Oryctolagus cuniculus: one gene and its partner. The protein of the gene in region 1 purifies or fractionates together with the protein of each later gene. This does not show direct contact. Links are inferred from orthologs where the notes say so. Each region holds a gene or a part of one and is shown in the gene's direction. Other genes may lie near its edges.

Region 1 (15,307 bases):
AGGGAGGGACAGGAAGTGGACAGACCTCAAAAATGAGTTGGAGGAAGAAGGGACGGGACTTCGCCGATGGACTGGACGTCAGGGTTGAAGAAGAGAATTGAGGGTCAGGCCCGTGATTTGATGGCTGAACAGCGGTGACATTGTTTTCTAGCTGGGGAAACCGGGGAGGGGAGCGGACGCGGGAGGCTGGGGTGGGTCAGAAGAGCTGGGTGTCAGAAACGTTCATTTCGAGGTGCCTGTTGGACATTCACGCAGGGAGCTGGGCAGAGGCCGAGAGTGTGGGGAGAGGTTAAGGCGAGGGACACGCGTGGGCACAGGAGCACGTGGCCAGAGGAGAGCGCGGGGCCTGGGACCTGGGGCGGTTAGGGAAAGACGGGGAACAGGAGTGGACCGAGAATGTCCAGGGGCGCAGGAGAAGTCAGGGAGGAGGGCTGAGCTGCGTTTCCCTTTGCTGAGAGGCCAGGCAGGGTGGGGGAGACGCCCCGATTCGTCCCTGTGATACGGGGGCAGGAGACGCGACACAGAGACGGTTCTCACCCGCGTCTGGCACCGTGGGTGTGGGCACGGTTCTTTGCTGCATCCGTTGCTACCAGCTTTTTGGAACTTGCACGTAAGCCTAGAAATTGCTGCGTGTCACTCGTGCCCAGAGTAAGGCCCGGGAAAGGACAGGTACTGGAGGGACAGACCTTGCTTTGGGGGCGTGTGCGATGGCGTGTGGTCCAGCCAATCCCAGGCTTGGAAGTCTGGGGGTGTCCAGGAGAGGAGTGGAAGGGGTGCAGGAAATCTTGTATCTGCAGAAACTCTTTCGTGTGTTAAAGAGTGGGTATCTGAGCTTTTCTTCCTTTTTCTTTTTTAACCTCCGAGGTCTTCAGCCACCTGAAGAGACTGGGCTACGTGGTTCGACGGTTCCATCCAAGGTCAGTCCCTGTGCCTTCGCCCTCCCGCTCATTCCCGTCCCGGGACCTGGCCAGTGAGCCTCAGGAGGAAAGTGGCCCTGCACCTAGAGCGCAGCTCCCTGGACGTGGACCAGGGGCCCGAGGTGGAAGTGCTCTGTGGAGGGCTCGTGGGGACAGGTCCCGTCCTTGTGCTTTGTCCTGGGTCGTCAGGCGACCACTGAGCCCCGCAGCTCACTGTGTGTCCTGGGATGCAGGGTGGGACTGCGCCTGGCTCCTGGGAGGTGTGGGGGCAGATTTGCCGAGTAAGGACCAAGTAAGGAATTCACAGTTGTGAGGTTTCACGTGACTCGTGCGAGGGTGGGTGTTCTCTGTCACCTTAGAATCCAGCGTTGCTAAGAGCCTCAGACTTTGACGGTATGTCGTGAAAACCTGAAGAGACGCATCCTTTACTCCCTAAGGGTGCGGTCTGGCCTAGAGAAGTAGCGCGGATGTGCGCACGCCACACTGTTCGTGCACTAGCACTCGCTGACCACTGGCCGGTGCCAGGCCCTGGGTCCGTTTCTGGAAACGGCAAAATCACGGCCCTGCAGAGCTGGCACTTCCCCGGGAACTCCGAGTCGGTGTGCTTGGAGGTCTGTGTGTTCAGCAAGTGCAGGCGGATTACCAGGAGTGCGTCCCTCAGAGCAGGACGTCCACTCGGACTTTCTGTGAGCATGTCCTGTCTGTGCACCGGACATGACCTGTGCAGCCATGGCACTGAGTCATTTTGACTGATTTAAATTGAACTTAAATAGCTACTTGTGGCCAGTGGCTGTAGTGATAAGGGGTCATGTTCGTAGTAATATTATTAAACAAACAAAAAAAAGGGATTGCAAAGCATTTTGTTGGTGCATTGCCATTTTTGTCAGAAAAAAAAAGCATGGAGCAAGGTTAGTGTATACATATGAGGCTGGTAGAGCTTTTAGTTTTCATTTTAATTTTTCTGTATTTTCCAAGCCTTCTGGCTCTATGTGGTTTTTCTCACCAGTGATAAATCACTTATTGCTGACTCTGGGAGTCCTAACTCCAGAGGCCTGGGGGCGTCTGTGGACTCCCTCTGTGGACCCCTTGTGCAGATCCGTCCGGGGCCCTGACCAGTCCCGCTTGGGCATCAGGGTGCAGAGGTGGAGCTGTTGTCCCCAGCCCCCACGGTTGTCACCCCACAGCTCTGTCCTGTCCCCATACGAGAGGCAGCCCCCACCGTTGTCACCCCACAGCTCTGTCCTGTCCCCTTACGAGAGGCAGCCCCCACCATTGTCACCCCACAGCTCTGTCCTGTCCCCTTATGAGAGGCAGCCCCCACCGTTGTCACCCCCAGCTCTGTCCTGTCCCCTTACGAGAGGCAGCCCCCACCATTGTCACCCCACAGCTCTGTCCTGTCCCCTTACGAGAGGCAGCCCCCACCGTTGTCACCCACAGCTCTGTCCTGTCCCCATACGAGAGGCAGCTGAACTTGGATGGCAGCGCCCAGCTCTTGGAGGACGGTCCTGGCAAGAAGAAGAGGAGGAGTTCGAGCTCTCGGTAGTGCTCCCCCCCAAGGCCACCTGGGAGGGCTCAGCCTTAGAGCCGGCCTCGGGCGGCGGCACATAGGCTCAGGGCAACACCAGGGGCCGAGTGCAGCTCAGCCACCGGAGCAGATGCACTGCTTTTCCCGCGTCCCTCAGGTCCGTGAGTAAGAAGGCCAAGGCGCCGGACGACTCCCTGCAGCCTGAGATCCTGGCGGCCTCCGGCCCTCCTTCCTACAGCCAGCACGGCCCACGTGTGGAGGAGAAACCCCAGGAGTTGAGCCCAGGACAGGGCCCAGCCAGCCCCTTTCCTCTTCCGGGGTCCCTGGAGCCCTGCCCTGGCCTGGCCGGGGAGGGGATGGGGTGCAGCCGGCAGAGCGGCCACGTGGAGAATGGGGTCACGGGGGCTGCTAAGCCGCGCTGGGACTTCTCCCAGATCTCCTTCCCCAACATGGCGCCAGACAGCCGCCACACCCTCCTGCCAGCCCCGGCCCCAGAGCTGCTCCCCGCCAATGTTGCGGGGCGGGACACAGATGCCGGCTCCTGGTGCCAGCAATTGAACCAGCGGAAGGAGAAGCTGTCCCAGAGGGAGCGGGAGCAGCAGGTGGAGGCGCGGCACTTCCGGGAGGACGTGAACGCGGACCCCGAGGTGCGGCGCTGCTCCGGCTGGCGGGCGTACAAGGAGCTGCTGCAGAGGCGGCACCGGGAGAGGAGCCAGAGCCGGCCGCCGCACCTGTGGGGCCAGCCCGTCACCCCGCTGCTGAGCCCTGGCCAGGCGGACTCTCCAGGTACCCTCTCCCCCGGCTACAGCCCGGCAGGCTTCTGACGGCTGAGGAGTCAGGATTCCGAAGGGGTGTGGAGTGGCCAGGTCTGGTTGAGGCACAAGATAGAGGAGCCCACAGGGACAGCCAGATCCTCGGGTGGCAGCAGAGGGCCCGCACGGCAAGGGGGAGAGGCGGTGTGTCAGGCCAAGCGGTCCTTGAAACCACAAACGGTGACGTGGGCGCCTCTGCCCCCGGTGAGCTGTGGTCCTCTCTCCTCCCGCCTCTTGGCAGAACAAGGAGGTAGAGGAAGGCTTGCTCTGTGCTCTTAATTTTGAGCACGGGGCCCTAATGGGGCCAGAATGGTCTGAGCTAAACACATGAACAGGTTCGGAGGTACTGAAAATCTAACCGGGAAAAGGGGGTGGCAGACGCAGAAATGGCGGGAGCGCGGGTGACTGGCCGCCTGCCCACCCCTGGCTCTTGCTCTCCGCAGCCGCCGTGCTTCACCACATCTCTGTGCTGCAGACAGCGCACCTGGCTGACGGAGGCGCTCGGTGAGTGTCCGAGCTGTGCTCGCGGTACCCTGCTTGCCCTGGGGGGTAGGCGGCCGGGATGTAGCTCCTGCGGTTGGTTGTGAGCTGGAGGAGCCTGCCAGGGACCCCTGCCCACGTGCCACAGCTGGTACCCATTCACGGCCAGGGCACGGGGAGCAACGCCAGGTGGGTTTAACCTGGGAGTCGGGAGCCCCTCCCCTTAGAGGACACGGCTTCCTGGAACTGGTGGTGGGCAGGAAGGGTGACGGGGACAGTCTGTGTCCTGAGGTTTCCCATCTCCGCAGGCTGCAGGGCAAGGCCGGGGACCTGGAGATCAGCTTTGATGTTTACCAGGCTGACGCCGTGGCCACGTTCCGGAAGAACAACCCTGGCAAACCCTATGCCCGGATGTGCATTAGCGGGTACGAGCCGGGCGAGCACCGCCCCAGGCTGCTGCCAGCTCTCTGGCCAGGGTGCCGATGGCCTGAGAGGAAGCTGAAGTCCGGAGAGGTTTAGTGGCCCACACAAGGTCTTTCTCCCCTGCGTTGGTCCCTGTGCAGCAGAAGGGATGTAGGTCGGTGGGGTTCGTGGGCACAGGGCTCAGAATTCTCTTCCGGCCCCCTGCAGACCCAGGGCTGGGGGCTCCCCGGTGTCCAGTTTGCAGGCAGAAGAGCCCAGATGCTAGAATTCTTGCTCCCCCACCCCTGGCCCCCATCTTCCTTGCCTGGGAGCCTGGGAGGGGCTCAGAGCCCAGGATGGTCAGGTCTGAGAGCAGCCCTTGTCCGTGCAGGTTCGATGAGCCGGTCCCCGACCTCTGCAGCCTCAAGCGCTTGTCCTACCAGAGCGGGGACGTCCCCCTGCTCTTCGCGCTGGTGGACCATGGCGACATCTCCTTCTACAGCTTCAGGGACTTCACGCTGCCCAGGGACCTGGAGCACTGACCACGCGGCTGGGGGCGGAGGGGCTGCAGCCTGCCCTGGGGAGACCTGGACTGTCTGTTCTCAGGGACCATCCAGCGGCCTCCCGGGCCTGGACTCTGACCTGTGGTCTGGACCTTGGCCCTGGTGCCTGACACCACTCCCCTCCTCCCTGCCTGGCCGCTGCACGCTGCCAACGCCCGCACCCGGGATCGCCGCCTTGCAGGGACCCCTTCGGAACTCAGACCCGGGCAGAGGAGGGGGCCCAGAAGAGAGGACTCTGTGCCTTTAACGAGAGGGTGCCTGCTTCTTGCCATAAAGCCAAAGCCATTAAAAACGGATCTCTTTATTTTTGTGCGTGGTTGGATATGCCGGACAGACCCCCAGCCTCTCCTGTTTGGCCACTCACTGGGAGGCGCGCGCTTTGGGGCGGCGGAGGGAGGGAGGGCCTCTCTTCACCAGAGCGGGGCGGCTCAGGACACAAGGGTGGCCGGGAGGCGCCGGGTCGGTTTAGTTTGACGCTGCGCCCCGGGGGTCTGCCAGCTGCTGCGGGGGGCGCAGTTCTAGCCCTTCGGCTCCCGCCTCTCCAATCCTCTCCCTGGCTTGAGCTAGAAACTCCCGCCGCTGCTGGCCTCCGCAGTGGACACGGAGGAGGGTCCTGGTTTGGGGCCCACCCCAGGGAAGGCCTCGCCCCCAGCACCACTCCTCTGCGCGGTGCGGGAGGGCGAGGCCCGGCCCAGCGTCCACCGCGGTCTCCAGGGCTCGCACCCTCGGGAGGAGCCGCCCGCGGGGCCCCTCCGGTCTGGCTGGCAGGCGTTCCGGGAACTATTTCCTCTTCCAGGAGGCGGCGGGGCACTGGGCGCGGCGTGCTGTCCTGCGGCCAGGTGCGCGCAGGTGAGCCGGGGCGGGCCGGGCGCGCCCCGCCCCCGCGCTCCCCGGGGCCGCGGATTGGCCGGAGCGCGGCCCCCGCCCCCGAGGGCGCCCCTGCGCCCCCGCCCCGCCGGCGCAGGCTGGGGGGCGGGGCGGGGAGGCGGCCCCCGCGGCGGGCCGGCTCGCCCTTTATGTAAATAGCGGCCGCTCCGCCCCCGGGCCGGCCGCGCCGGAGGTGAGCAGGAAGCGACGGCCGCCCAGCAGCCCGTGGGCCGGCGCGCGGAGCCAGCGGAGCGGCGCCGGGGGACGCCGAGGCCTCGGGCGGGGCCGGCCCGGGTTGCAGGTGAGGCGGCCGCACGGACCCCACTGGGCGGGCGGCGGGCCGAGACCCCCGGGCGGGGCGGCGAGGCGCGGGCGGGGAGGGCTGCGCGCGGGGCCGCCCGCCTGGCCCTCGCCCGGGTCGCTCGGCTCGCCTGGGAGACGGACACCTGTGGGAAGTGCCGCCGGGAACTTTTCCGTCAGACCCGCCCGCGGCGAGCGAGCGCGGTTTGCGCGACAGTGGTGGCCTTTGAGAGCGGGGGAGCAGGTGCCCGCCCGAGTGGGTGCGGGGGGCTCCGTGCGCGAGCGGGGCCGGGGACCCCGGACCCACGTGCAGGGCGCGCGCCTCCGGGCGCCCCTTCTGCGCGGGCGGCGGCTGGAGCGCGCTCCCTCGGAGGCTTAGCCCTGCCATCTGGGCTGCCTCCGGCCGGCCCTTTGTGCGTCCTAATCCTCGGGCGCAGGAAGCCGGCGGGAGGGACTTCGGCCTCGGGGCCTCTCTCGGCGCCGCGCACCTTCGGACACCTGTAGGCGACGGCCCCCGCCCCGCTTTGCACGCCGGCGAGTGGGGGGGGTGCGCGGCGGGACGTGGCGAGCGGTGGAAAATTCTTGCCGAGGGAAGTGTGCCTTGGTGTGCTGGACGGCTGGTGGCCACTCCGGTGGCTGGCCGCGACTGTAACCAGGACAGCAGGTGTGGCCCTTTGAGGCTCTCACCTGAGACAGGTGAGCCTTGGGTGAGGAGGGCGGGGCTTACACTCGGCCCCCAGCCCCCCCTCCCCAGCGGCTCCACTTGCAGGTGCAGGCCGCCCCAACCTGGGCTCGGGAGACGCCTGTCACTCCGCACAGGGGATTCGGAGCGGGGAGGGAACTGGGAGGGAACGGGTGTGTCGGGGTGACCAGGAAACCCAGGTAGGAAGAACAGCTGCCGCGATGGGCTGGGGCCAGCGCCTGGGAGCCCGAGCTTGGCGTGGCTTTTGAGGGAAAGGTCTGGGTGTGTGCCAGGCGCTGGGAAGGTCGTGGGAGATTCGTCAGCTTTGGAACTCCCCATGGTGCCAGCAGTCATTGAGGCTCTGACCAAAGCCCCCTCCTGGCCTCTGAGGTTAGCCTGGCTCCGTCTGTGTGGGCCCCTGGACGCTCTTTCCGGGGCCCCAGGTGCCTCAGTGACGCTGCGGCCCTGGTCTTCCTTGAGGAAAGAGGGTCCCATCAGTGACAGGTGGATATAACTTAATTCTAATAATCTCTGAGTAGACACGGTATTGAAAGAAGGGGGGGGCACCGTGGCTCACTTGGCTAATCCTCCACCTGCGGCACCGGCATCCCTTATGGGCACTGGGTTCTAGTCTCGGTTGGGGTGCCGGGTTCTAGTCCTGGTTGCTCCTCTTCCAGTCCAGCTCGCTGCTGTGGCCTGGGAGGGCAGTGGAGGATGGCCCAAGTGCTTGGGCCCTGCACCCGCATGGGAGACCAGGAAGAGGAACCTGGCTCCTGGCTTCAGATTGGCGCAGCTCTGGCCGTTGTGGCCATTTGGGAGATGAACCAATGGAAGGAAGACCTTTCTCTCCCTCACTGTAACTCTACCTGTCAAGTAAATAAAAAGAAAATGAGGCCCAGAATCCCAGGTGACCCCCATTGTTTTAAATAACGGAGAGGCCAGAGTAGGGGGGAAAGCATCAAACATCTTAGGAGGCGTGAAGATGGAAAATTTTTAATTTGCAAGGCAGAGACAAAGACCTGAGTCTCCCCAAATGCCCACAACAGGGGGGCGGGGCCAGGCTGAAGCCAGGAGCCCGGAACTCCGTGTGGGTCTCCCGCGTGAGTGGTAGGCACTGTAGTACGTGAGCCGTCACCTGCTGCCGCCCAGGGTGCGCCGTAGCACACTGCTGGGCATGCAGGCCAACCCAAGCAGCTCTTAGCTGCCGCGGCACAGGCTGGCCCCCGGTGCGGTTTGAAGCCAGGCCTGTGGAGTGCTTGCTGGGGACCGACCTTGGGTCACCTGAGCCTGTTGTGGCGCCTGTCACTGTTGCCGAGAAGATGGGACGCATCATGGACAAGTGTGGCTGGGTGCATAGCAGGCACGGGAGGAAGGTGAACATCTTGGCTTCCCTGAACGAAAGCGTTGGTTGCTCAGATCTTTGGGTTGGTCCTGGGTTTTTTGGAAGAACCTGAGGGGCGAAGTGAATTTGACCCCGGCTGGCCGAGGGGTTGCAATTTAGTGACCTTTCAAAGCCTCTGCAGGTCGCTGCTTTCTTTCCTTTCCTTTTTTTTTTTTTTTAATCTTTTTTATTTGAAAGTCAAAGTTACACAGAGAGGAGAGACAAGGGTAGAGAGAGGTCTTCCATCTGCTGGTTCACTCCCCCAGTTGGTTGCAGTGGCTGGAGCTGAGCTGATCAGGAGCCAGGAGCTTCTTCCAGGTCTCCCACTTGGGTGCAGGGGCCCAAGGACTTGGGCCATCTTCTGCTTTCCCAGGCCATAGCAGAGAGCTGGATGGGAAGAGGAGCAGCCGGGACTAGAACCGGCGCCCATATGGGATGCTAGCACTTCAGGCGGCGGCTTTACCCACTATGCCACAGCGCCAGCCCCATGGTCGCTGCTTTTCAGTGAGGAGGCTCGCGGAGGTAGAGGCCAGGGGCCTCTCTTGGCCTGTGCTCCGGTGGCCTTTGATACTTCCCTTGCTCCGTGGGAGAGTCGGGAGTGAGGGCTGATCGAAGACTTAGCTTAGAGCCCTTCCAGGGTGCAGAACCTAATCTGCCCTAGGCTCTGGCCAGAGGGTCCCTGCGTGCCCGCCTCTCCCAGGCCGGGGGAGGAGCGCATTCCTGAGTGGCTCTGTTGCCATTAAGCTTTTCTGGGAGCTCCAAGTGCCTCCTTTCAACCTCATTTGGGGGAGGGGGTGTTCTCTCCTGCCAGCACTTTCCCAAGCCCCTCCCTCCAGGAGAGAAAGTGGTGCCCGGAGCCCCTGCCCCCAATCCTGCTGGAGAGTGTCCAGGGCTGGGTTTCCTAGGGGCTTACCCAACCCTCTTGGAGACTGCTGGCAGCAGCTGTTGAGGCACCTGAGTTGAGGCCATAGAGGCTGCTGTGGGCTTCCTGGGCTCACCCGCCATGGGGCCCTCACTCGGGCCCTGTGGCTGTGGGGGCTGCTCCTGGGTCCGGGCAGACATGCCCTGCTGGCTGGCGACTTTGTGGGAGACACAGTACCGGACAGGAAAGGGGACCTTCCACAGTGGGGCCGCCAGCACTGCCCCCTCCCCCAGGGGACCCTCCTCCCTTGCTGTGCCTGGCCAGGGGCTTTGCCCAGCTCCCTTTGGGGTGGGCTCCTCTCCCCACCGGGCCTCTCAAAGGAAACCAGGACTTGGAGGAGCCATGCCTTCTCTTGCTGGGAGCTGGGGTGAATTCTTGAGCTAGGAGAGGGGACAGGGGAGCTGCTAGGTTTCAGGAATTCAGCAGAGACCCAGTGCTCCAGGGTTTGACGAGAGGGACATCGGGCGTGGGACTCCTGGAGTCTGGCAAGCGCCACTGATACTTAATCACACTCCCGGAGTCTTGCCAGGGAGCGGCTGTCCTGCAGCCCCGGTCAGAGGCACAGCCCACCAGTGTGTCCTGGTCAGGAGGCCTGGTGTGGCGACCCCATGACCCTGGCCAAGTCCAGAGACGCATCTCCGTGTCCTGGGGGGTCAGCGATGGAGAAGACTGTGCCTGGTTCATCCCTGGGCAGTCACCTGTCTGTCCACTCCCTGAACAAGTATTTATTTGTGCCTGCTGTGTGCCTGGCGTGGTGCTAGGCAACCTAATCCTGAAACCAAGCAAAGGTCTCTGCCGTCACGGAACCTTCTCTCTAAAGGGAGACGGGAAGGAGGGATGTGGAGTAACACGCGGGACCAGCGCTGTGGCGCGGCGGGTTGAGCTGCTGCCTGCGGTGCCGGCATCCCATGTGGGCGCCGGTTCACGTCCCAGCTGCTCCACTTCCCTGCTTGGGCCCCTGCCACTCACATGGGAGGCCCAGATGGAGTTCCTGGCTCTGGCCTGGCCCAGCCCTGGCCATTGTGGCCACTTGGGGAGTGAACTTGTGGATGGAAGATCTCCATGTCTCTCTCACTTTCTCTGTAACTCTTTTTTGAATAAATAGGAATTTTTTAAACAATGTTTTTAAAAGAAGGTGATATTCTCTATAGCGTAAGAATTAGAGCTGGGTTTGAGAACTCCCTGGTAGGAGCAGGTTACGGCTTTAAAAGGAGTTCAAGGGGCCTGCACTGTGGCACAGCAGGTTAAACCACTCTCCTGTCTACAGTGCCGGCATCCCGTATGGGTGCTGGTTCGAGTCCCGGCTGCTGCACTTCTGATCCAGCTCCCTACTAATGCAACTGGGAAAGCAGTGGAAGATGGCCCAAGTGCCTGGGCCCCTGCATCCGCGTGGGAGACCCGGATGGAGTTCCTGGCTTTGGCCTGGCCCACCCTTGGCCATTGCGGCCATTTGGGGAGTGAATCAGTGGATGGAAGATCTCTGTAATGACACCTTTCAAGTAAAATACCTATTAAAAAGGGGTCAGAGTGGGCCTCGGCAAGAAGGGAACATTGAACAAAACTCAAGACAGAGTTCTTGGTGTGAGGACCTGGGTGGGTCGTTGGCAGTGCAGCCATGGGAGAGTGCGGCTCTCCCTCCTCCAGGAGCTGGCGTCTTCTGGAAGCTCCCTGGGGCTGCTGTTGTGATTCTGGGGCAGTAGAAGGTCCGGGAATGGGGCTCAGTTGGACAGGCCTAGGTAGCCTGCCTGCCTCGGCCCCAGGCAAACTGTCCATCTTCTCGCTGAATGGTTTTGCTTTTCCTTGTATTTGACCACTTCTGTCACCTGCCTCTCTGGAGAGCATGGTAGGTTGTCTCACAGTAGAGGACCGAAGCCCCCAGTCTGGGCGTGCACAGGGCAGGGCGGGGTGGGGTGGGGGTGGGGGTGGATGCATGGAGGGGACTCTCAGGCTGTAGGATGGCTGGTGGGGCTGGGAGCTGGCCCCACAGAGGCTCACCCAGCCTGTAGGGTACTGCTTTGTCCCAGGAGAGAGGCTCTGGACTGAGCCCAACACGGGCTGTACAGATGAGTTCCAACTGAGACCTAGGTTCTCACCAACTGCCCGGGCTTGCTACCACTCCGGGTTGGTTATTTCGAAAACAGCTAATGTTGTAAGAACCAGATGATGCTCACAGTGTCCCTAAAGTGACATCTGGCCTCAGCCCCGGGTCCCTGTATCCCTAACAGCAGTGACAGTGCCCTCTGCCCCACCTCCACCAGGTGCCCGCAAGCATTGAGGTTTGGTTGCTAAGCTGCTGGTGGGGCATCAGGCTTCCCGGGACTACACAGGCCGCTGAGCTGGCGCCAGCAGGAGCTGGAGGGGTCAGCAGCTGCCCCGGTGGCTCCGAGCCCTGCTGCACCGCTCCAGTTGGTAGGAGGTGCAGGGGCGGTCTCACATCCGCCACACCGGAGGCCAAAGCCACACACAGGCCTCGCACAGGATGTCGGGGAAGGGAGGGCAGCTTCTGAATCAGCCCGGACTCCTCACCCTGCGCTCCTGAGGGCGGGAGGGAGCTGTGGCAGAAGCTGGGTGCGGACTCTCCCGGCACCTGTGAAGGGACTTCGTAGGGGGCTGGCCCTTCCCACACCTGCAGGAAAGGACGGGCTCGGCTTGACCAAGCTGAACCCAGGTGCCCCAGCAGTGCCCGCGGGGGATGGGCACTGTGACCCAGGAGTCCTCCCTCCCCGCTCCCCCTCCTCCTGGCCCTTCCCACACCTGCAGGAAAGGACGGGCTCGGCTTGACCAAGCCTTGGACTCATGGGGACAGCTGAGCCCAGGTGCCCCAGCAGTGCCTGCGGGGGATGGGCACTGTGACCCGGGCATCCCCCTCCTCCCTCCACAAGCAGCCCTCTGCCTAGAGCAGGGGGCTCCAGGTGGGCCCGCCCTTCTGTGGTGGTCTCTCTCTCTGCCGGTGATCTCTGCTGAGCTCTTGAGATGCATGAGGTGGGGGCAGGCAGAGGATGGAGGAGGAAGGCAGGGCCTGTCGCTGAGAGGATGCCGCCTCTGGGCGTCAGGGTGTGGGGGACCTGCCCGAGCCCCTGGGACTGTTGTGCCCGCCGGCGCCAGTGGTGGTGATGGAAGCGGTGAGAAGAGACGGAAGTTGCGGGACCAGTGGCCACAGGGAGCTTTCGGGCTACTGCCACGCCCCAGGCACAGAAGCCGCAGGGGTCAGCAGCAGCCGGAAAACAAATAGGACTCCGCCACAGCTCAGCACGCTGACGGCACACTGAGGCGGGGGAGAGCGGGGAGGGTGGCTCGGAGGTTGTTGGTTGGGTCACACACGTGGTCGGGTCACACACGTGGTCGGGTCACACAGACGCCGTCACGGGCAGGGATGGGGTCTGGGAGAAGCTGGGGCGAGGGCAGCGGTAGAGAAGGTGTTTCTTGGGCAGCCCCAGGAGTGGTGCTGTGGCCCCGCGGCGTCCCCAGTGACTGCCGCGTTGGTAGTCACTTCTCCCACGCCCCTCGGTAGGAGGAGCACTGGAGAGGAGTCTGGGCATTTGCCAGGCCGGCCTTGGACAGCCCCACCGGGTCAGAACCCTCGAGCCCAAGGTCTCGCAGCTGCTTCGCCTGCCTGTTTGCTTGGCTCTCCGGCCTTCAGACCTGGCTGATCCACGCGGGTTCCTGAGAGGCAAAGCTGCCAACGGGTCGCGCAGGCCCCACCCTCGCCCCGAACGCCGCCTGGGGCGTCACCCTTCGTCAGGTCCCCTTGTTGTCCACCCTGCCTGGGAGGCAGAGAAACCAGACAAAAATCGCTGCTAACCGCTAGCCCTACGAGCCTCTTCCAGGGTGTGCGTCTCCAGCAGGTCCTGCCTGGCTCACGATCTCATGTGAGTGTCCAGGTCACCAGGAAGTCTCTGCCCTCTCCGTGGGGACAGGTGCTCAACCCCTCGCCTGTGCTGGTTGCTGGCCAGTGGGTTGGTTCACTTTCCCCGTAGCTTAATAACCAGCAGGAGGCTGGGGCGAGCATTTGTGGGGCTAGATGGGCGCCCCATCCACTGGTTCACTACCCCCCAAGTGCCCTCAACAACTGATGCCAGAGCTGGGTGCTCCATCCAGGAGCTCCCGCGGGTGGCAGGGTCCCACGTCCTGGAGCCATCGCCGCTGCTGCCCCAGGGTGTTCGCTAGCAGGAAGCTAGAACCCAGAGCGAGGCCGGGACTCCCACCCGTGAGGCGGTGGTGTCTTCACCACCAGGCCTAATTCCACCCCACGGTGTGAGCAGGGCGTCATGTTAACAGAAGGCGCAAACCCTGCGGGAGCACAGCGAGAGAGGGAAGCCCTTGGGAGGGGACTTCAGATGAGCTGCGTTCCAGACAGAGCGGGTGGGGCCGGGGGGAGCTGAGCAGGTGGATCTGGTGTGGGGGGTGGGGTGGGCGGGACAGCCTACAGGCCCTGCTCAGGACTGTCAGAGCTCCTTGTGTGCCCCGCAAGCCCCGCCTCCCACTCGTCTCCGTCCTCCCGGAACAAGCTCGTCCCATCTTCAGGCTTTGTGCCTGTCAGTCCTGCCCAGCTTGCTGTGCCCTGGAGTCTGACCGTGTGGCCACCACTTCCTGCCTCTCGCTCTCACCTCTGCACAGTGAGTGCTCACCAGGGCAGTAGGATGCGGCAGTGACTGAAGGACTTGAGTAAGAATGAGAAAGCCGCAGCTTGCGGGAGGCTTCGCGGGTAACCAGCCGACCGGAGGAAGAACTAACCTGTTCGCGAGTTGACGGCGCGGCCGACGCTCAGGAAGGCAAAAGAGGGCGGAGGACGGAGAGTGGGAAGGGACGGTCCAGAGCCCTTCAGCCGCCCCAGCCTGGGCGCTGCTCTTAGCATCTTGATTTTCTTGGTGGCCGCTGGAAATCATCCCATGCACCTGCAGTCCCGGGATGGGGCCTGCTCCGTCCGCCGTGAGCGCTGTGCCAGCACTCCCCCTACTCCTCCTTCCAGGGGACCCGTGCAGGGGGAAGCACCTCTGTAGGGGAGCTGTCTGTGCAGCGCAGGAGGCCGCAGGCTAGGCTCGGCTCGGAGGGGCTGAGCTGTGATGGTCAGGCCCTGGCCTGTTGTACCTCGCCTGGGGCTGTCTTCCCTGCATTCCCTGTCTGCCTCCAGGAGTGGGCCGGGGAGATAGGATCTGCTCCACACCAGGCCGCTCCGGGCCTGGCTTCCTGAGGTTCCACCGCAGGAAACTTGCTTGTCTGGGGTGGGTGGTCCTGAGGGGCTGCCTGGAGGTGAGTCCAGCCAGGCCCAGACCTGTCCCCTCGTGTCCTCTGAGAAGAGGTGGCACTCGACTTGGGCAGTCACTTCGCTCTCGGGAGACTGCGCTCCGGGGCGGATGTGGGCCTGGCTCTGGGCTGAGGGCAATTGTGGGAATGTGTCTGGGCGGGGCCTGCCTCCTGATTGCAGGGTGCAGTCGGGCACCCTTTGACCTGTGCTACCCAGAGCTCTTAGAGTTGGGGGGTTTGCAGACCTGGGGCCGGGCCCGAAGGCTGTGGCTTCCTGCTCGGTGACCTTGTATGGTCGCCCAGCTGCTGTGGGCTTTGCCTCGTCATCTGTCCCCAGCCTGCTTACCTGTCAGGGGGCTCCAGGAGTGCGAGCAGGTAGAGAGGTACCGTGTTGCCCTGGCTGCCTGGACTTGGGTCTGCTCTGCATTGTTTGCTTCTACGAGAGCAAAGGGGCTGTGCCTGTGCCTGGTCTGCAGCAGGTGCTCCCAGGGGCCTTGGGGTGAAAGGCGGGCGCTGAGTACGCCTGCCCTCCTGGTGTGTGTCTGCATCCTGTCTGCCGCCCTCCTCCCGGCACCCCCGCCCTCATCTTGGTTGTGGCCTCTGAGCCTGCGTGGGGTCCTTGGCCATCTGTGTTCCTCCCTGGAGTCTGCAGGCCCCTCTCCTGCTCCAGGGAGTCACTCCCAGCTTCCTCTGGCTTCTGACCCAAGTGACCTTAGCCCCTGGAAGGGGGAGGGGCTGCCAGAGGAGCCTGCCACCCTCCCCCACGGCTGGAATGCACAGAGGCGGAGGCTGAGATCCCTGCTTCCTGTCCCGGGAGCCTCCAGGGCTTTGGTGCTGTGGGGCCTCAGGTCAAGTGGGCACCTGAGTTCCCAGTGACGTGGGAGGCTCCCGCACTGGTGGGCTGCCCCCAGACCTGAAGGCACAGACCTCCCCCATCACACCCTGGCCCTCTGGGGGTGTCTGCAGGCTGATGTGCTCTGAGGGTGGTCCTGGTGTTTGGTTTGGAGGTGGCCTGCGGGAGTGCAGCTTGGTGAGCCCTGGTTTGTCTAGGAGACACCCCCACCCTGTGATGCACCCGCACACCTGGGTGTGCCTCCAGGAGCTGCGGGGGGGGGGGGGCTGTTTTAACAGAGTCTTGGCCTGGTGGCTGATTTAGTTTTGTCCTGCCTCCCAGGAAACCACACTCTTCAAGGCTTCCTTCAGGCCTCAGCT
Region 2 (15,126 bases), on another chromosome or scaffold:
CCACTGCCTGCTCCCCAGGGTTTCTTTCTTTTAAAAAACAATTTTACTGGGGACCGGAGCTGTGGCGTAGTGGGTAAAGCTGCCGCCTGCAGTGCCAGCATCCCACGTGGGTGCTGGTCCCAGCTGCTCCGCTTCCGATCCAGCTCTCTGCTATGGCCTGGGAAAACAGTAGAAGATGGCCCAAGTGCTTGGGTCCCTGCACCTGCGTGGGAGACCCGGAAGAAGCACTTGGCTTCGGATTGGCGCAGCCCCGGCCATTGCAGCCAACTGGGGAGTGAACCAGAGGATGGAAGACCTCTCTCCCTCTCTCCCCCTCTCTCTGTGTAACTCTGACTTTCAAATAAATAAATAAATCTTTAAAAATTTATGTATTTGAAAGTGTTACAGAGACACCTTACAACCACTGGCTCACTCCCACAGATGGTGGCACAGGCCAGGGCTGGGCCAGGCTGACACCAGGACCCAGGACCTTCATCCAGGGGTAGGTAGGCGGCAACCTTGGGCCGCCTCCCCCGGCATGGAATGCAGGGTTCTGGTGGCGTTTAATCTCCAGCTACACTTCTTTCTGTACTTGCAGTGATCTTTGGGGCGTCCCCCCCCCATGCTTGGAAAGGCCCGGTCCACCTACACACACCTTGCTGTACTTAAATTTCACCGCGGCAGCCCCTTCCCACGCAGGGCAGAACACCCCCGCCCCCTTCATTTCAGCCATGCACCCTCTTCCATCAGCTGCCGACGCCATTCGGTGTGAAAACCTCCAGCCTCTCCCACAGCACCAGAATTCCTGCCCACACTCACTGCGGCGCGAGGGGCGCGTCCCCGGCCATGTCCCCTGTGGGCCCACCCCCCAACTTCCCTACCCTGGCTCCCGGCTCCGTGGCCCCTGGAGCACGTCTCCTCCCCGGTGTAGCCCGGCCTCCGGAGGCCTCGCCCCTCGCCCCTCGCCTCACCAGCACTCGCTGCGCCCCCGCCCCGCGCCTGCCCTGCTCCGCGGTCTGGAATGCCCCTGCCCGCACACTCCCCCTCATTCCTCAGCACCGAAGCTTGTGGGCCTCCCCCGAGGCCTCAGCGTTCCCGCTCCGCCCCCAGCCGCAGAGCCCTGAGTAAGAGCTGAAAACAGCGTCATGCCCCCGCGCCCTGCACCGCGCCAGGCGCCGGGGCGCCCTGGGTTCAGCCCTCCGCCCACCAACGCGGGCCAGGGCGGCTGCTCTCTCACCTCCACCTGCCCCCAGGCCGGTGGCTGTTCTCACTCACAAACCATTTATTGTAATGAATTAAGGCAATTGTCCCTCCTTCGTGGAATCTCAGCTCCAAGAGGGCAAGGACTTTGTATTTTTTTTCCTAAAGATTTATTTATTTATTTGAAAGCCAGAGAGAGAGAGAGAGAGAGAGAGAGAGAGAGAGAGAGGAGAGAGAGAGAGGAGAGAGATGTCTTCATTTGCTGGCTCACTTCCCAAGTGGCCGCAATGGCCCGAGCTGGGCCTGCCTGCAGCCAGGAGCTTCTTCCGGGTCTCCCACGCGGGTGCAGGCCCAGCACTTGAGCCGTCCTCTGCTCATCAGCAGAGAGCTGAACCCGCAGTGTGGCAGCTGGGGCTCAAACTGGAAGCCGCGTGGGATGCCAGTGTCGCAGGTGGCCGTTTAAGCCGCTGTGCTACAACGCTGGCCCCAGACTTTGTATGTTTAAAAACATTTTATGTATTTGAGAGGCAAAGAGGCAGTCAGAGCTGCCTATTAGCTTGATCTCAAATGTTTGCAACAGCCCGGGCTGGGCCAGGCTGAGGCCAGGAGCCAAGAACTCCAACCGGGGCACCCACGTGAGTGGCAGGAGCCCGTGTACTTGCCCGCTGCCTCCCAGGGATGGTAATTCGCCAGAAGCTTGAATGGGGAGCAAAGCTGGGATTTGAACCCAGGTATTCCGATATGGGATGCGAGAGTCCCAACTCATGTTTTAACCACCCGGCCAAACGTGGGCCCTGGCTTTTGTCTTTTTAAATCAGTGTTTCCTTCACTGCCCGGCACATAACAGGCCCTCAGTGAACACAGTCAAGTCACAGGCAGTGGACAGGATTGCTCTCCTCAATTCCCACCCCAGGCAGGCACCATGCGGTCTGCAGCCCGAGATCCACAGGCCGCTGGGACCAGATGCCAGCTGCAGCGCCCCCTCTGGGACAGCTGCAGCTCTGTCCCGGGGGCCTGACTGCTCAGCCGGACTGGCGGCAAGCACTCTGCTGTGTCCACATTCGTCCACCAGGTGCTGAGGGCCGGCTGACCCCTTCCATCTGTGGACTCTGAGGGACCGGCTGGCAGCGCCCACAGCCTCACTCTTTGGTTACTATCCTGTCCTCTAACTCACGCCAAGCACATACAGTTGGCACTTAATAAATACCCGGCACATTCAAGAATTCTACTATGGCAATAAGTGATTAAAATCATTAGACAGCAATAATGGGACATTTATGGAGTCCTTACTCTGGGCTGGGACCCACCCTAAGCACTCTGTATGTGAATTAAGACAATTAATTATCTTTATTTTACAGACGAAACAGAGGAGCCAAGAGCTTGCCCGAGGTCACACGGCCAGGAAGCAGCAGAGGCAGGACTTGGCTGTGGGTATGTGGCCTGAGTCTGCCCCTAACGACCACTCTAGGCTGCCTCCCGGCTCCTCTGAGAGGTGTGTGAAAACAGGAAGAATGGCTCATTGCATGTTTGCATTTTATGTCAAGGAATTCCTTCCCAAGCCTTGGTAGACCACCGTGTTTGTAAGGAGTAAGTACTGAGAGGTCCCTGGCATTCTGTGGGCTGAGCCCGTGGGTTCAATCTGAGCCAGACATGGCAGTCTGCTTTTACGGAGAGAACTCCAAGGCTCTGAGTAGTCAGGGAACAGGCTCGAGGCCACTCAGCCATCAAGGAGCAGAGCAAGGACCCACACGAACATCCATCAGCTGACAAGGCACGACCCGGAGCGGGTGCTCTGGCACGGAGGGTAGGTCACTGCTTGGGTCACCTGCGTCCCAATCAGAGTGCCCGCTGCAAGTCCCAGCTACTCTACTTCCTATCCAACTTCCTGCTAACACACGTCCTGGGAGGCAGCAGGTGACGGCCCAAGAGCACCCGGGTCCCTGCCGCCCACGTGGGAGACCTAGATTGAGTTCTGGGGCTCCTGGCTTCAGCCTGGCCCACCCCTGGCTGTTGCAGCCATTTGGGGAGCTAACCAGTGGATGGATGATCTCTGTTTTCTTTGTCTCTCTCTGGGACTCTCTGCCTTTCAAATGCAATTAAAATAAACACTTAAAAAAAAATCATCAAAAGAAAAAAAATTCTGGGGGCCAGCCAGCATTGTGGCAAAACTGGCATCCTATATCAGAGTGCCAGTTGTAGTCCCAGCTGTTGGTTTCTGATCCAACTCCCTGCTAATGTGCCCAGGAAGGCAGAAGATGGCCCAGGCTTGGGCCCCTGCCACCCACATTGGAAACCAGGTGGAGTTTCTGGCTCCTGGCTTCAGCCTGGCCCACCCCTGGCTGTCACAGCCATTTGGGGAGTGAACCAACAGATGGGAAAATCTCTGTATCTCTCCTTCTCTTTCTATTACTTTGCATTTAAAAAAAAAGTAAAAAAAAAAAAACAAAACAAAACAAAACAAAAAAAAAACAGTGCCTCCAGAAATAAAGCTCAAAGCTCCTTCATGCAACTGAAAATTTAATGAGCTAAGGGTTGGCGTTGTGGCACAGCAGGTCCACATCCCATATCCGAGCGGCTAGTTCCTGTGACTCCAGCTTCCAATCCACCTTCGTGCTAAAGTGTGTGGGAGGCAGCAGATGCTGGCCCAGGTACTTGGAGTTTCTGCCACCCACGTGCAAGACCTGGATGGAATTTCTGGCTCGTGGCTTTGGCCTGATCCAGCCCTGGCTTGTGGGCATTTGTGGAGTGAACCAGCAGACGGAAGATCTGTTATTCTGCCTTTCAAGTAAATAAACAAATAAATCCAAAAAATGAAAAAAAAAAAAAGCGTTTAGGGGCCGGCACTGTGGTACAGCAGATTGAGCAGCTGTTGGCCCATAGGAGCGCTGGTTCGTGTCCAGCTGCTCCACTTCCGAGCCAGCTCCCTGCTGATGTGCCTGGGAAGGTCCAGCACTAGGGCCCCTGCCACCCATGTGGGAGCTTCAGATGGAGTCTGGTTTCTTGGTTTTACCCCGGCCCAGGCCTGGCCATTGTGGCCATTTGAGGGATGAACCAGTGGATGGAAGATTCCAATCTCTATCTCTCCCTTTCTTACTGAAACTCAGCCTTTAAAAAAAAAAGTTTAAAAAAAAAAGTTTCTAAAAACATCAAGTAAGTTAGTCCATGGAAAAGCACCGAGCACCGTTCCTGGCACCTGCGAGGCCTGTGTGTCCATCACTGACTCCACCAGTGCCTCCCGGGCTGCAGACTCCGACCGGAAGACCACTCTCTCCACCGCAGCCCGCGGCCGGGAACGCTGGGCTAACGATCGATCTGCACTTCCCCTGGGGAACCGTAGACCACTCACAGCTGGAAGGAACCGCGGCGATGATCTCATCCCTGCCTGCATTTTTAGATGCGGAATCGAGTCCCAGAGAGGAAAAAGGTCAGACAGCAAACTCATGGCCGGACCAAGCCAAGGGCAAGGTTAGGCACGGTGCCTGGCACATGCAGCCCCCCAGGAGGGCAGCCTTTGACTGAAAGGCTGCAGGAAATCCTCCCCACGTTTCCCTGGTGTGGGCGCCACGGCTCCGGCCCCGCCACAAAGCAATCAAGTATGATAAGCTATTAACCAGAAAGCAGGTCATGTGACTTCATTCCACCTCTGCTAAAGGGCTTAAAATGCTTGGGTGAATAGCCCGAGATTCATAAATATCCACTTCGGCGCTTTCTCGAAGAATTATTAACCAGCTCCCTCAAAACTGGAGCTTGGGCGTTCAAGGAGAAAAAGAGCTGGCGAGAGTGATTCCTTGGAAAAATGTCTCCGAGCATCGTCTGGGACGTCTTGCCGCTCTCCTGATGTTTGGAGGAAGGAGAGGAGGGAGAGAGAGAAAGAGAGAAAGAGAGAGAGAGAGAGCGAGAGAGAGCAAGGCATCGCCATGCAGGATGTCAGCTGAGAAAGCTGGCGGTGGAAGATGACAAACTTTCTCCACCTGGCGAGCTAGATGTCGCGGGTGGGGGGGGGGTGCGGAACTTAGAGAACTCTGGGAAAGAGTAAGGCAGAGCCCAGCCCCGATTCCTTCAGACCTCGGGCGGGTAAGAAGCTTGACCGGGGCGTGAGCATCTCCGGAGCCTGGTCCTGCGCAAGGATGGTGTGGACCTGTCCACCACCTGCCTTACTGGAGCCCCGGTCACCCTCCCAGGCGTGGAGCTGGCTTTCCTTTGCACACGGGGAGGTCTGGATCAGCTTTAACGGGAGGATTTGGGGGCGGGGAGAAAGAAGATTAGGGCCAGTCTTCAAACAGCAGAGCAGGGACAGAAATCCCTCTCTGAGCCACGCCTCTGGGCTTCGTGCTTCTCAGCGGAGGCTGAAACACAGGCCTGGTGAGCCTCAGGCCCCACGGCTGTGAGAAGCCGCCGCCGGCCCCTCTATCACTTTGGAACCTCTTCCCTCATTCCTCCCTTGCACAACCCAGGCGCCCGGGGATGGGTGATGCAGGCCTCCAGAGCCAGCTCCTCTCGGGATCCAGAAAGGAAAGTCCAAGAGAAGAGGGAGGCCACGCCCGGGGGAGGGGGATGTGACGCCACCTCCAGGAATGCGGGCCCACGCAGGTGCGTTGGCACCCGGGAACTTCCTTCTCAAAAGCCCTGATAAATCAGCACTGCTAGCAATAAAGCTCCGTCACCCCGCGGTGGCTCAGCGCTGCGGCCCTGCTCCCAGGGCAGGGAGGGCGAGAGCTGAGAACGCAGAATCCCAGGCGACCGAGCCTGGTCCAGCGGCCATCACAGTGCACGCCTGGGCGCCCCAGGCCGTCCTGGGGGGTTGCCACGCCACATGCTCACGACGCCCAGGTGTTGCGCCTTGCTTCCCAGCCCACCGTGGGGTTTTCCAGAAGGAACACGGCACGTGATGACATCACGGATGGCAGCTGGAGCGCGTGCTGCAGACGCGTCTCTCTCAATGCCGTGAGCACGGACAGACCTGACACACACGAACACGCTTTGGGCCCCTCTGCAGTAGTCTAGGGGGCTCTTGAGACCAAACAAGCCGAGAGCAGAGCCCCCGAACGAAGGCGAAGGGCGAGTTTCGCCTGCAGCTGCCCCTGGCCACGCGGGCGCCGAGCGGCACAGGTGTTTTCCCGCGGGGTGAAGAGGGCGGCCCTGCTCAGCGTGGGGCGGTTTCCACCTGCGCTTCCGCCCGGGCGGACCCACGGCTCCGGGGAGAGGAATTCCTCACCTTTGGACCCGGCTGGCCAGCAGACACCTCCCCGTCAGCTGGGCACCCGCCAGGGCGCGGCTCGGGAGGGGGCGGGGCCCGGGAGGGGGCTGGGGTCTAGGGGCGGAGGTCCCGAGGACGCAGGAGCAGCAGCACCCCAGGCATCTGCTCGCACAGGAGGGGGTCTCCACGGCATGCAGGGAGCCCCTTCGCAGGGCGGCAGGGCCCGGGGCTCCCGTCCGCGCCCCCCCAGGGCCCAGGCTAAGCGGGATCCGGAAACCCTGCGTGGACCCCCCCCCCGGCGCCTCAGGCCCCCTCGCTCCCCCCACCGACCCCTGGGGACCCGACGGACGGGTGGGGGCGGGCTGCAGCCGCCTCCCGCAGAGCCCAGCCCACGGAGCCGAGGCGCTCCCTCAGATAAGCGCGCAGAGGCGAAAAACCTGAATTTTGCGCACGAGAGTTGCAGCGGGACCCTAAAAACACGAAAGGGTGGGGAAGGGGGCGTTGTGAAGGGCGACACAACCCAAAGTCACAGCAGGGCGGGGGCCGAGCAAGCCACTCGGTGCCTCGGCCACCGATACGGCCGCGCGCCCAGTCCCCCGCACCGAGCGAGTGACCAGCGCGCGCCGAGCTGCGCCAGCCCAAGCGGCACCAAGTCCCGCGGCGCGCGCCCGCGCGTGCGCAGAAGGCACACCCGCCGGACTCCCTCCTCAGGTGCGCTTGCGCTTCCGGCCGGCCTTCTCTGGGCGGAAACTCGAGCTCCTGCGCATGCGCTCTCCAGCTCTCTGGCGGGGTCCAGAGAGGCGGCCCCGGGCTTCAGGTAATCCCGCCCCTCCCCCGCCGCGCGGGACCAATCGTGCGGCGGCGGGCGGGACTTTGTCGAGGGAGGCCCGCCCATGCGCCCCGCGAGTCGTGTTTCGATTGGTTGGCGCCGCGGGCGCAGGTGCGCGCTTCCTATTGGGTGTGGGCGGAGCGCGAGCGGCCGAGGCTGCTCCGGAGGCTGCAGGTGAGCGCGCGCACGCGCCGCGGCTCTGGCCCGGCTCGGGCGCGCGCGCGCGGGCCCGCGGGGGAGGTGGCCGAGAGCGAGGCTGCGGCGCTGGGAGCCTGCGCTCCGCCCTCTCCTCCTCCGCCGCCGCCGCCGCCGCGGGCCCGCAGGCAGGGAGCAGCGTCCGCGCCCGCCGCGCCGCCAGTGCGCCCCTCCGTCCCGCCGCGTGAGCAGCCCGCCCCTCTGCAGGTGCCTGCGCGGAGCGCCCGGGCCGCGGCCGCCCTCCGAACCCGCGCGCCCCGCCGCGCACTCGCTCCCCGCGCGCCCGAGGGGCGGCCGGTGCCGACGAGGCCGCCGCGGGGCCCGGCGCTCGACATGAACCGCAGCCACCGGCACGGGGCGGGCAGCGGCTGCCTGGGCACCATGGAGGTGAAGAGCAAGGTGCGCGGGGCCGGCCTGGGCGGAGCGGCGGTCGGGAGGCCGGGCGCCGGGGGAGGCCGCGGGCCGAGCCTCGGGGGCCCGCGAGGGCGGGGTGGGGGCGCCGGCTTCTGGTTTCCGAGGTGGGAGCCGTGGGGCGCCCTGTCCGGGGCAGGGCCGGAGGCGCCCGGTCCCCCCGTTCGGGTTCGAGGGGGCGAGCGCCCTTTGGGTTGCTTTGCTCCCGGCCGGGCGGATTCCTGGGGAGCCCTGGAGCGCGTTTCGTCTGCGGATCAGCACCGGCACCCGCAGCGCGTGCGCTGGGGTCTCCGCGCCGCCGTCCGCTGCCCGGGTTCCGAGCTGGGCCCTGCTGGCGGCCCGGGAGTCTCGCAGGCCCCGGTCCCGGAGGCGGGCGGCAGGTGAGCAGGTGGGCTCCGCGGGCTGCGCCTGCCGCGGCTCGGCGCTCCTGAGCGAGAATAATCCAGGCCCTGGGCCGTGCCAGCCGCGGCGGCTCGGAGAGACCCGGCGAGGCCGGAGCGCGTTGGAGGAGAACAGCGGATCGGCTTCCACAGTCGCGAAGCCGCGTGGACGGAAGGGGGCCGGGGGCACGGGGCCGGGGGGCGCCCGGCGGTCCCGATGGAAGCGGGCCGGGGGCGCGGGGCCGGGGGGCGCCCGGCGGTCCTGACGGAAGGGGCCGGGGTCGGGGGGCGCCCGGCGGTCCCGATGGAAGGGGGCCGGGGGCGCGGGGCCGGGGGGCGCCCGGCGGTCCTGACGGAAGGGGCCGGGGTCGGGGGGCGCCCGGCGGTCCCGATGGAAGGGGGCCGGGGGCGCGGGGCCGGGGGGCGCCCGGCGGTCCTGACGGAAGGGGCCGGGGCGCGCGGCGGTCCCGTCCCGCGGCTCTGCGCGGCTCTGCAGCCGGGACGCGGCGGGACGATGGTGTTTGGGCCGGGCCGGGGTGGCTGCTGGTCTCGGCCACCGTCCTGTCGGGGGAGTGCGGTTGTGATCGCGGCGCGGCCTCCGTGGGCCCCGGCGGAGCAGGGCAGGGATTCACATCTCGGGTTTGTGGGAGTTGAGGTCAAGAAAAGGCACTTGTGATATTGCATCACTCAAAATTCCGCTTCCAGGCCGACCTTGGTAGCAAGTGGCAGGGAAAAAATGAGTGGAGCTAGTAGGTGCGCTGCTGAAAGAAAGCAAACATTTCCTCCCGGCGCGGGCTGGCATGCCAGGCTCTCGCCGCCTCCTGTCAGCTGACTTGAGAATCTCCCACATACCTGAGGCCCAAACCGGGTGTTAGGTGTTGGCCTGCCGGCGTCCCGAGGCCTGCGCCGGCCACGAGGTGGAATCGGGGCGGCCTGAGACCAGGCGCCGGGAACTGTGGTCCCGCGAGGATGGGCAGAGCAGTGAGGGCCCCGGCCACCCGTGCCCCTGCTTCTCGATGTCTGTTGTTGATGTGTTTACTTCTGAATGGGTTGAATAAGCTGTTTGTCCTCTTAAAAACCTCTGCTGCGGGAGATTTTTGAAGCACATTTTGCTTTGGTGCTGCTTCGGCTTTCTGGGCTCCTGGGGCAGCCGTGGCTGCGGGCTTGGAGCCAGCACTGGAGAGCAGGCGGAGCCGTCTCAGGGTCCTCGGCCCCTGCCTGGACATCAGTAGTGTCGGCCGGATTACCTTGGCCTGGGAAGGGAAGAATGGTTACAGGTAATCAACATAGTGGACAGTGTCAACAAGCTGGTTGAATTCGTGATACCAGAAACCACGTGGCTTTTCTTTGGTAACTGATTTATCTCCCTAATTGTTTCTCTAGAGTTGGGGAAGTTCTCAGTACTGATGGAGGTGCCCTTTAGTAACCTTGGGACAGTCTTGGAGCCGGAACAGTTCCTAATTACTCACAGGCGAATAGGACATTAAAATTAAGTTGTCATTTCTAAAATGTGCCAGCAGATAGTGGGGGGCGGGAGTCTGACACATTGTGAATGGCTGGGAGGAACCAGGCCGGTTAAACAAAGCTGTGAATGGGTCCTGGAGTGGGGAATGGTTGCTTGAGTCTTGAGTCTGTCTCTTGGCAGCTCTCTTCGTGTGGTAAAAAGTTCTCTACCCTCTTGTTCTGCTGCAGGAAGCGTGACAGTTTCTCTAGTGTGTTTCCCCTGCCAGCATTTACAGAGGGCATATCTGACTTTGAAGCCATAGGGTTTCCCACTATTTTTATCAAATGAGTTAAGCAAGAGAAAAAGGTTGTTGAGCAAAGAATTCTCATCCACACACTCGAGCCGAAGCAGTGAAGCCCCCGAAACGTTAACCTCTCAGCTGTCGTTCCGGGTGGTGAGTCAGGCTGAGTGATAACCCGGAGACGAATCAGGACGCAGCGGCCGCCTGTGCTGTGATGCCAGCCAGGGAATGGGGGAGAAACTGTGACTTCTGATAACATCATAGACTGGCTGATAGGAAGGGTGTTCCCTGAGTTTTTATTTGCTTTGAAACATGAAGGTGTGACCGAACTTTTTGAGAGCTTTGGATATGAGTCACCTTATTTTCTTGATGAATATTAGTGTTTATATTTCAGGAATGTGTTTTGCAAACTTTTATTTATCAGCAGCAAGAGGTGGTTTGGGTGAGTTCTAATTTTAACGTAAACCTGGTGAGTGGTGTTTAGGGCATAAGCAGAGCTGATGGGCTTTTCTGTAAAGCAGACAGTGCATCCAGATACCCAGTAAGGCCTCTGGGGAGCTGATTCAGCATGTTTATGCACTTCCAAAATGGCTAGGATTGGGGCTTTCTCTGCCTGATGCTACTGAGGTTGAGCTCCTACTATGTATTTCTTGCTAACAATATCAGATGTTTCCAAGGAAAACGAGTCCTGCGGTCAAACACCTGACCGTGGTGTTGACACCTATGTAGACTGTAGAGTGACAGGTGTCTGGTGTTGACACCTTGTAGACTGTAGAGTGACAGGTGACCATGGTGTTGACACCTTGTAGACTGTAGGGTGATAGCTGACCATGGTGTTGACATCTTGTAGACTGTAGAGTGACAGGTGACCATGGTGTTGGCACCTTGTAGACTGTAGAGTGATAGGTGTCTGGTGTTGACACCTTGTAGACAGTAGAGTGACAGGTGTCAGTGGTATTGACACCTTGTAGACTCTAGAGTGACAGGTGTCTGGTGTTGACACCTTGTAGACTGTAGAGTGACAGGTGACCATGGTGTTGACACCTTGTAGACTGTAGGGTGATAGCTGACCATGGTGTTGACATCTTGTAGACTGTAGAGTGACAGGTGACCATGGTGTTGACACCTTGTAGACTGTAGGGTGATAGCTGACCATGGTGTTGACACCTTGTAGACTGTAGAGTGACAGGTATCTGGTGTTGACACCTTGTAGACAGTAGAGTGACAGGTGTCAGTGGTATTGACACCTTGTAGACTCTAGAGTGACAGGTGTCTGGTGTTGAAACCTTGTAGACTGTAGAGTGACAGATGACCGTGGTATTGACACCTTGTAGGCTGTAGAGTAACAGGTAACAGTGGTGTTGAAACCTTGTACACTGTAGAGTGACAGGTGTCAGTGGTGTTCAAACCTTGTAGACTATAGAGCTGACAGGTGTCAGTGTGTTGAAACATTGTAGATTATAGAGTGACAGGTGACTGTGGTATTGAAACATAGATTGTAGACTGACAGGTGACTATGGTGTTTTTTTTTTTTATTTTTTTTTTTTGACAGGCAGAGTGGACAGTGAGAGAGACAGAGAAAGGTCTTCCTTTGCCGTCGGTTCACCCTCCAATAGCCACCGCGGCCGGTGCGCTGCGGCTGGCGCACCGCGCTGATCCGATGTCAGGAGCCAGGTGCTTCTCCTGGTCTCCCAAGGGGTGCAGGGCCCAAGCACTTGGGCCATCCTCCACTGCACTCCCTGGCCACAGCAGAGAGCTGGCCTGGAAGAGGGGCAACCGGGACAGAATCCGGCACCCCAACCGGGACTAGAACCCAGTGTGCCGGCGCCGCTAGGCGGAGGATTAGCCTAGTGAGCCGCAGCGCCGGTGACTATGGTGTTGAAACCTTGTAGACTGTAGAGTCACAGGTGTGCTGGGCTGCATCCGGAGAGCAGCGGTGGCCGTCCTGTGCGAGCCCCGGCAGCGGTGGCTGTCCTGTGGGAGCCCCGGCGGTGGTGGCCGTCCTGTGAGCCCCAGTAGCGGTGGCCGTCCTGGGAGCCCCGGCGGTGGTGGCCGTCCTGTGCAAGCCCTGGCAGCGGTGGCCGTCCTGTGGGAGCCCCTCACTCAGCTCCACTCCCCGTCGTGTGGGAAGCTGGTTCCGCTACCTTAGGCTCCCACCCCTGAGGAAGTGCCCTGTGAGGCCCACAGAGCTGTAAACCCTGCGTCTGGTGGCTGTGAGGAGGCCGCTACTGGCTGCTGACCAGGAGCCACTGCAGGACCGGGGCCGGAGTGGAGGGAAGCAGAGCTGAGCCCCAGAGCTGGCGTGTGTGGTCCTCGCTGCCTCCCTCCAGTAATCATGCTTTGTAGACAAGAACGTGGTCTTAATTCATTTCCTTTTTAAAGACTTATCTATGTGAAAGGGAGAGCAGAGCGAGGGAGCCGCAGAGAGGTCCTCCATCCGTGGGTCACTCTGAATGGCTGCAATGGCTGGGGCTGGGCCAGACCAAAGCCAGGAGCCAGGAGCTCCATCTGGGTCTCCCGCGTGGGTGCAGGAGTCCAAGCACTTGGGCCGTCCTCCAGTGCCTTCCCCGGCGCATTAGCAAGGCGCTGGATCAGAAGTGGAGCTCAAACTGGTGCCCATATGGGATACTGGTGTCTCAACCTGTTGCACCGCCACACCAGCCCCTAAAATTTTTTTGAGATAAGATTTTTAGTTTTCACTGTAGTCGAAGCCCTAATAGCTCTATAGAGAGTGTGACAGATAAGAAGTGGAGAGACGGTAGCGCAGTCCAGCAGGAGAAGCGGCAGGGCTGTACACAGTGGGTGAGAAGACGCGGAGCCTCACGCATCCGGGTTTTAAGTCACAGCATCATTGAAACTATAGCAGCATCATTGCTGTCAGTTTGGCAACAACTTAAACGAAGTTGGACAGTGTATTTGCAGCAAGACTGATCCACACGGGCCTTTTGTTTTGTGTTGTGTTGTGGGACTGGGAAGCTTTGTAGCGGGCCGAGGCCTCCCTCTCCAGGGCCTATGGGCCCAGTGGCGCTGTCTGCGTCGTCATAGAGAGGGTGCTGCGTCCTGCTGGGCCTCTGTCCGCAAGCACGCGCTCAGTGGCCTTGTTCCTGTGCGTCTGCTGATTCCTGCCCCATCCCGGGAGATTAGGTCCTCTGATGGACTTGGAGGCCGTGGCTGGAGGGCGGGAGGCAGACTTGAGCCCTCCTTTCGTGCCCTCTGACCTGAGTGGGGGGAGTCCGGGCTGCACGCAGGGTTTGCTTGAGCTGAGTCATGCCCGGGGCAGGACGTCCCCAGGGAGGCCTGGGTAGCTCAGGGGTGGAGCTGGGTCTCTGGGGGGAGTGCAGTGGGGAGGCGCCCCTGCAGGGTTTATCTCCCGATGGTATTTCCCCGCCCCTCCCCCTCCCTGTCGTGTGTCAGACACCGTCCTGGTGAAGGAGATACGGTTATGCCTGCTGATTTTTCTGTGGTGTGCATTGTCGTCTTATGTTTACTCAGAATTAACACTTCATGCCTTGCGTGTTACACTTTTAGTTTGGAGCCGAATTTCGTCGATTTTCACTGGAAAGATCGAAACCCGGGAAGTTTGAGGAGTTTTACGGGTTGCTGCAGCACGTTCACAAGATCCCCAACGTCGACGTGCTGGTGGGCTACGCGGACGTGCACGGGGACTTACTGCCCATCAACAACGACGACAACTACCACAAAGCCGTGTCCACGGCCAACCCCCTGCTGAGGATTTTCATCCAGAAGAAGGGTGAGTGCGCTGCTGAGGTCTTCCCGGTGGCGGAGAGAACATTTCCTGCGGTGGCCGGCAAGCAGGTCCAGGCGTTTGTGACACTGCTGGTTCACTAAGTGTCTGCGCTTCCCCGGGTGTCCTCCGCCCGTGTGTGTGTGTGTGCATGCGTGTGTGTGTGTGTGTGTGTGCGTGTGTGTGTGTGTGTGTGTGCATGTGCGCACGCGGGGATTAGGGCTTTATCACTTCACTTTGTTGCCTGTAGGGAGCCTGGGGGAGGAGAGCTGGGGCTGGCAGCACGGGGGTTGGGAGGCCGGCGCCGGGCGAGCTCTGTGCGCCTAGCACGCAATCGCTGCGTCTCGTGCACGTCCGCGTCGTCAGCTCTGGAGTGGTTCCTCCTCTCTCTCTCGGCCGGGGCGTTCCTCCTAGAAGTGGTGCGGAATTAGCTGCCTACCCGAAATGAGGTGGCCCGGCTCCGGAGGGTGTAAACGCTGACCTTAGTCCCTGGCGGGGCCCGGCAGGCGTGTTCCCTGGCCCTGTGTGTGCTGCCTGCAGACGGGCGGGGGAGAATCTTGGCACTGGGGTCAAGGGTGAGGGGTGGGCAGCCAGCCCGAGGGCACTGCGCCCGTGATGAGACCACTGCAGTCTGGCAGTGTTTGTAAACCGACCCGGGGATCGCGTGGGGATTATCCTTGACGCTGAGACCTTCTTTCTCGTCCTTGATAAGCTTGTGCCACGCCCAGGGCTTTGCCACTGGCCGACTGGGTGTCTGCTTTTCTGGATTTGCAGAAATAAGCCCACCAACAAAGCAGACCTCTCAGAGTGGCTCTCTCTGTCCCTGGCCTGTTTATAGAAAACACGCTCTCACACACACACAATTAATTTCCCCGAGACCCCTGGGAAGGACATACCTGGCATTTAACAGGGGTGTGGTGGAGCCAGAGTATAATTGTAGGAAGGTTGATTTGTCTGTTCAGGAGGGGTGGGGGGGCAGAGGTCAAGGGAGCTGCAGTGGGAAGAGGGGAGGGAGGGCGGGAGCGAGCACCAGCCGGCTGCCTGCGGGCGTCCAGCGGAGCCCGGCTTCGTGGTTCTGAGCCCCGTGGCGGGGTTGGCGTCGGGAGCAGAGCGCGGACGAGAGCAGTGGAATTGGGAAAGAAGAGTGCAGGTTCAGTCCCGGGACGAGCCATCTTCTCAGGCTGGGGCGCTGAGCCCCGTGTGCAGGGGCCTGGGACTCGGGTGGGAACCTGGCCACCAGCACTCCTGCAGTTCCGAGCAGGCGAGCGGGCAGCAGGGCAGCTATGTGTGGAATGCTGGGGAGGGGCAGGCCCAGGAGGGAGTCTGAGGTGGCCGTGGGGGGCAGCTGCCTTTGTGTGATGGCTGTAGCTCTGTTCCACGTGGGGCTGCTGCGTGGCTCGCTTTTCAAACTACAAGCACCTGACGCAATGTTGTTGGGTACTCCC

The links.
Region 2: the proteins of LLGL2 (region 1) and PARD6B purify together in Homo sapiens (affinity purification with mass spectrometry; 7 studies listed by BioGRID and IntAct, counting the BioPlex papers as one, with this or other methods). This does not show direct contact. The link is inferred for Oryctolagus cuniculus from reciprocal best matches to the Homo sapiens genes LLGL2 and PARD6B.

The regions. Positions count from the first base shown.
Region 1 is NC_091448.1:5,042,450-5,057,756, reverse strand, and holds the start of LLGL2 (LLGL scribble cell polarity complex component 2), read left to right. Parts: upstream 1-5,714; 5' UTR 5,715-5,867; intron 5,868-15,269; 5' UTR 15,270-15,307. Other genes in the region: TSEN54 (tRNA-splicing endonuclease subunit Sen54), read left to right, coding at 865-917, 2,355-2,456, 2,600-3,228, 3,698-3,758, 4,043-4,159, 4,528-4,678. UniProt on the Homo sapiens protein: Part of a complex with GPSM2/LGN, PRKCI/aPKC and PARD6B/Par-6, which may ensure the correct organization and orientation of bipolar spindles for normal cell division.
Region 2 is NC_091442.1:10,157,143-10,172,268, reverse strand, and holds the start of PARD6B (partitioning defective 6 homolog beta), read left to right. Parts: upstream 1-7,416; 5' UTR 7,417-7,733; coding exon 7,734-7,799; intron 7,800-13,464; coding exon 13,465-13,687; intron 13,688-15,126. UniProt on the Homo sapiens protein: Adapter protein involved in asymmetrical cell division and cell polarization processes. Probably involved in formation of epithelial tight junctions.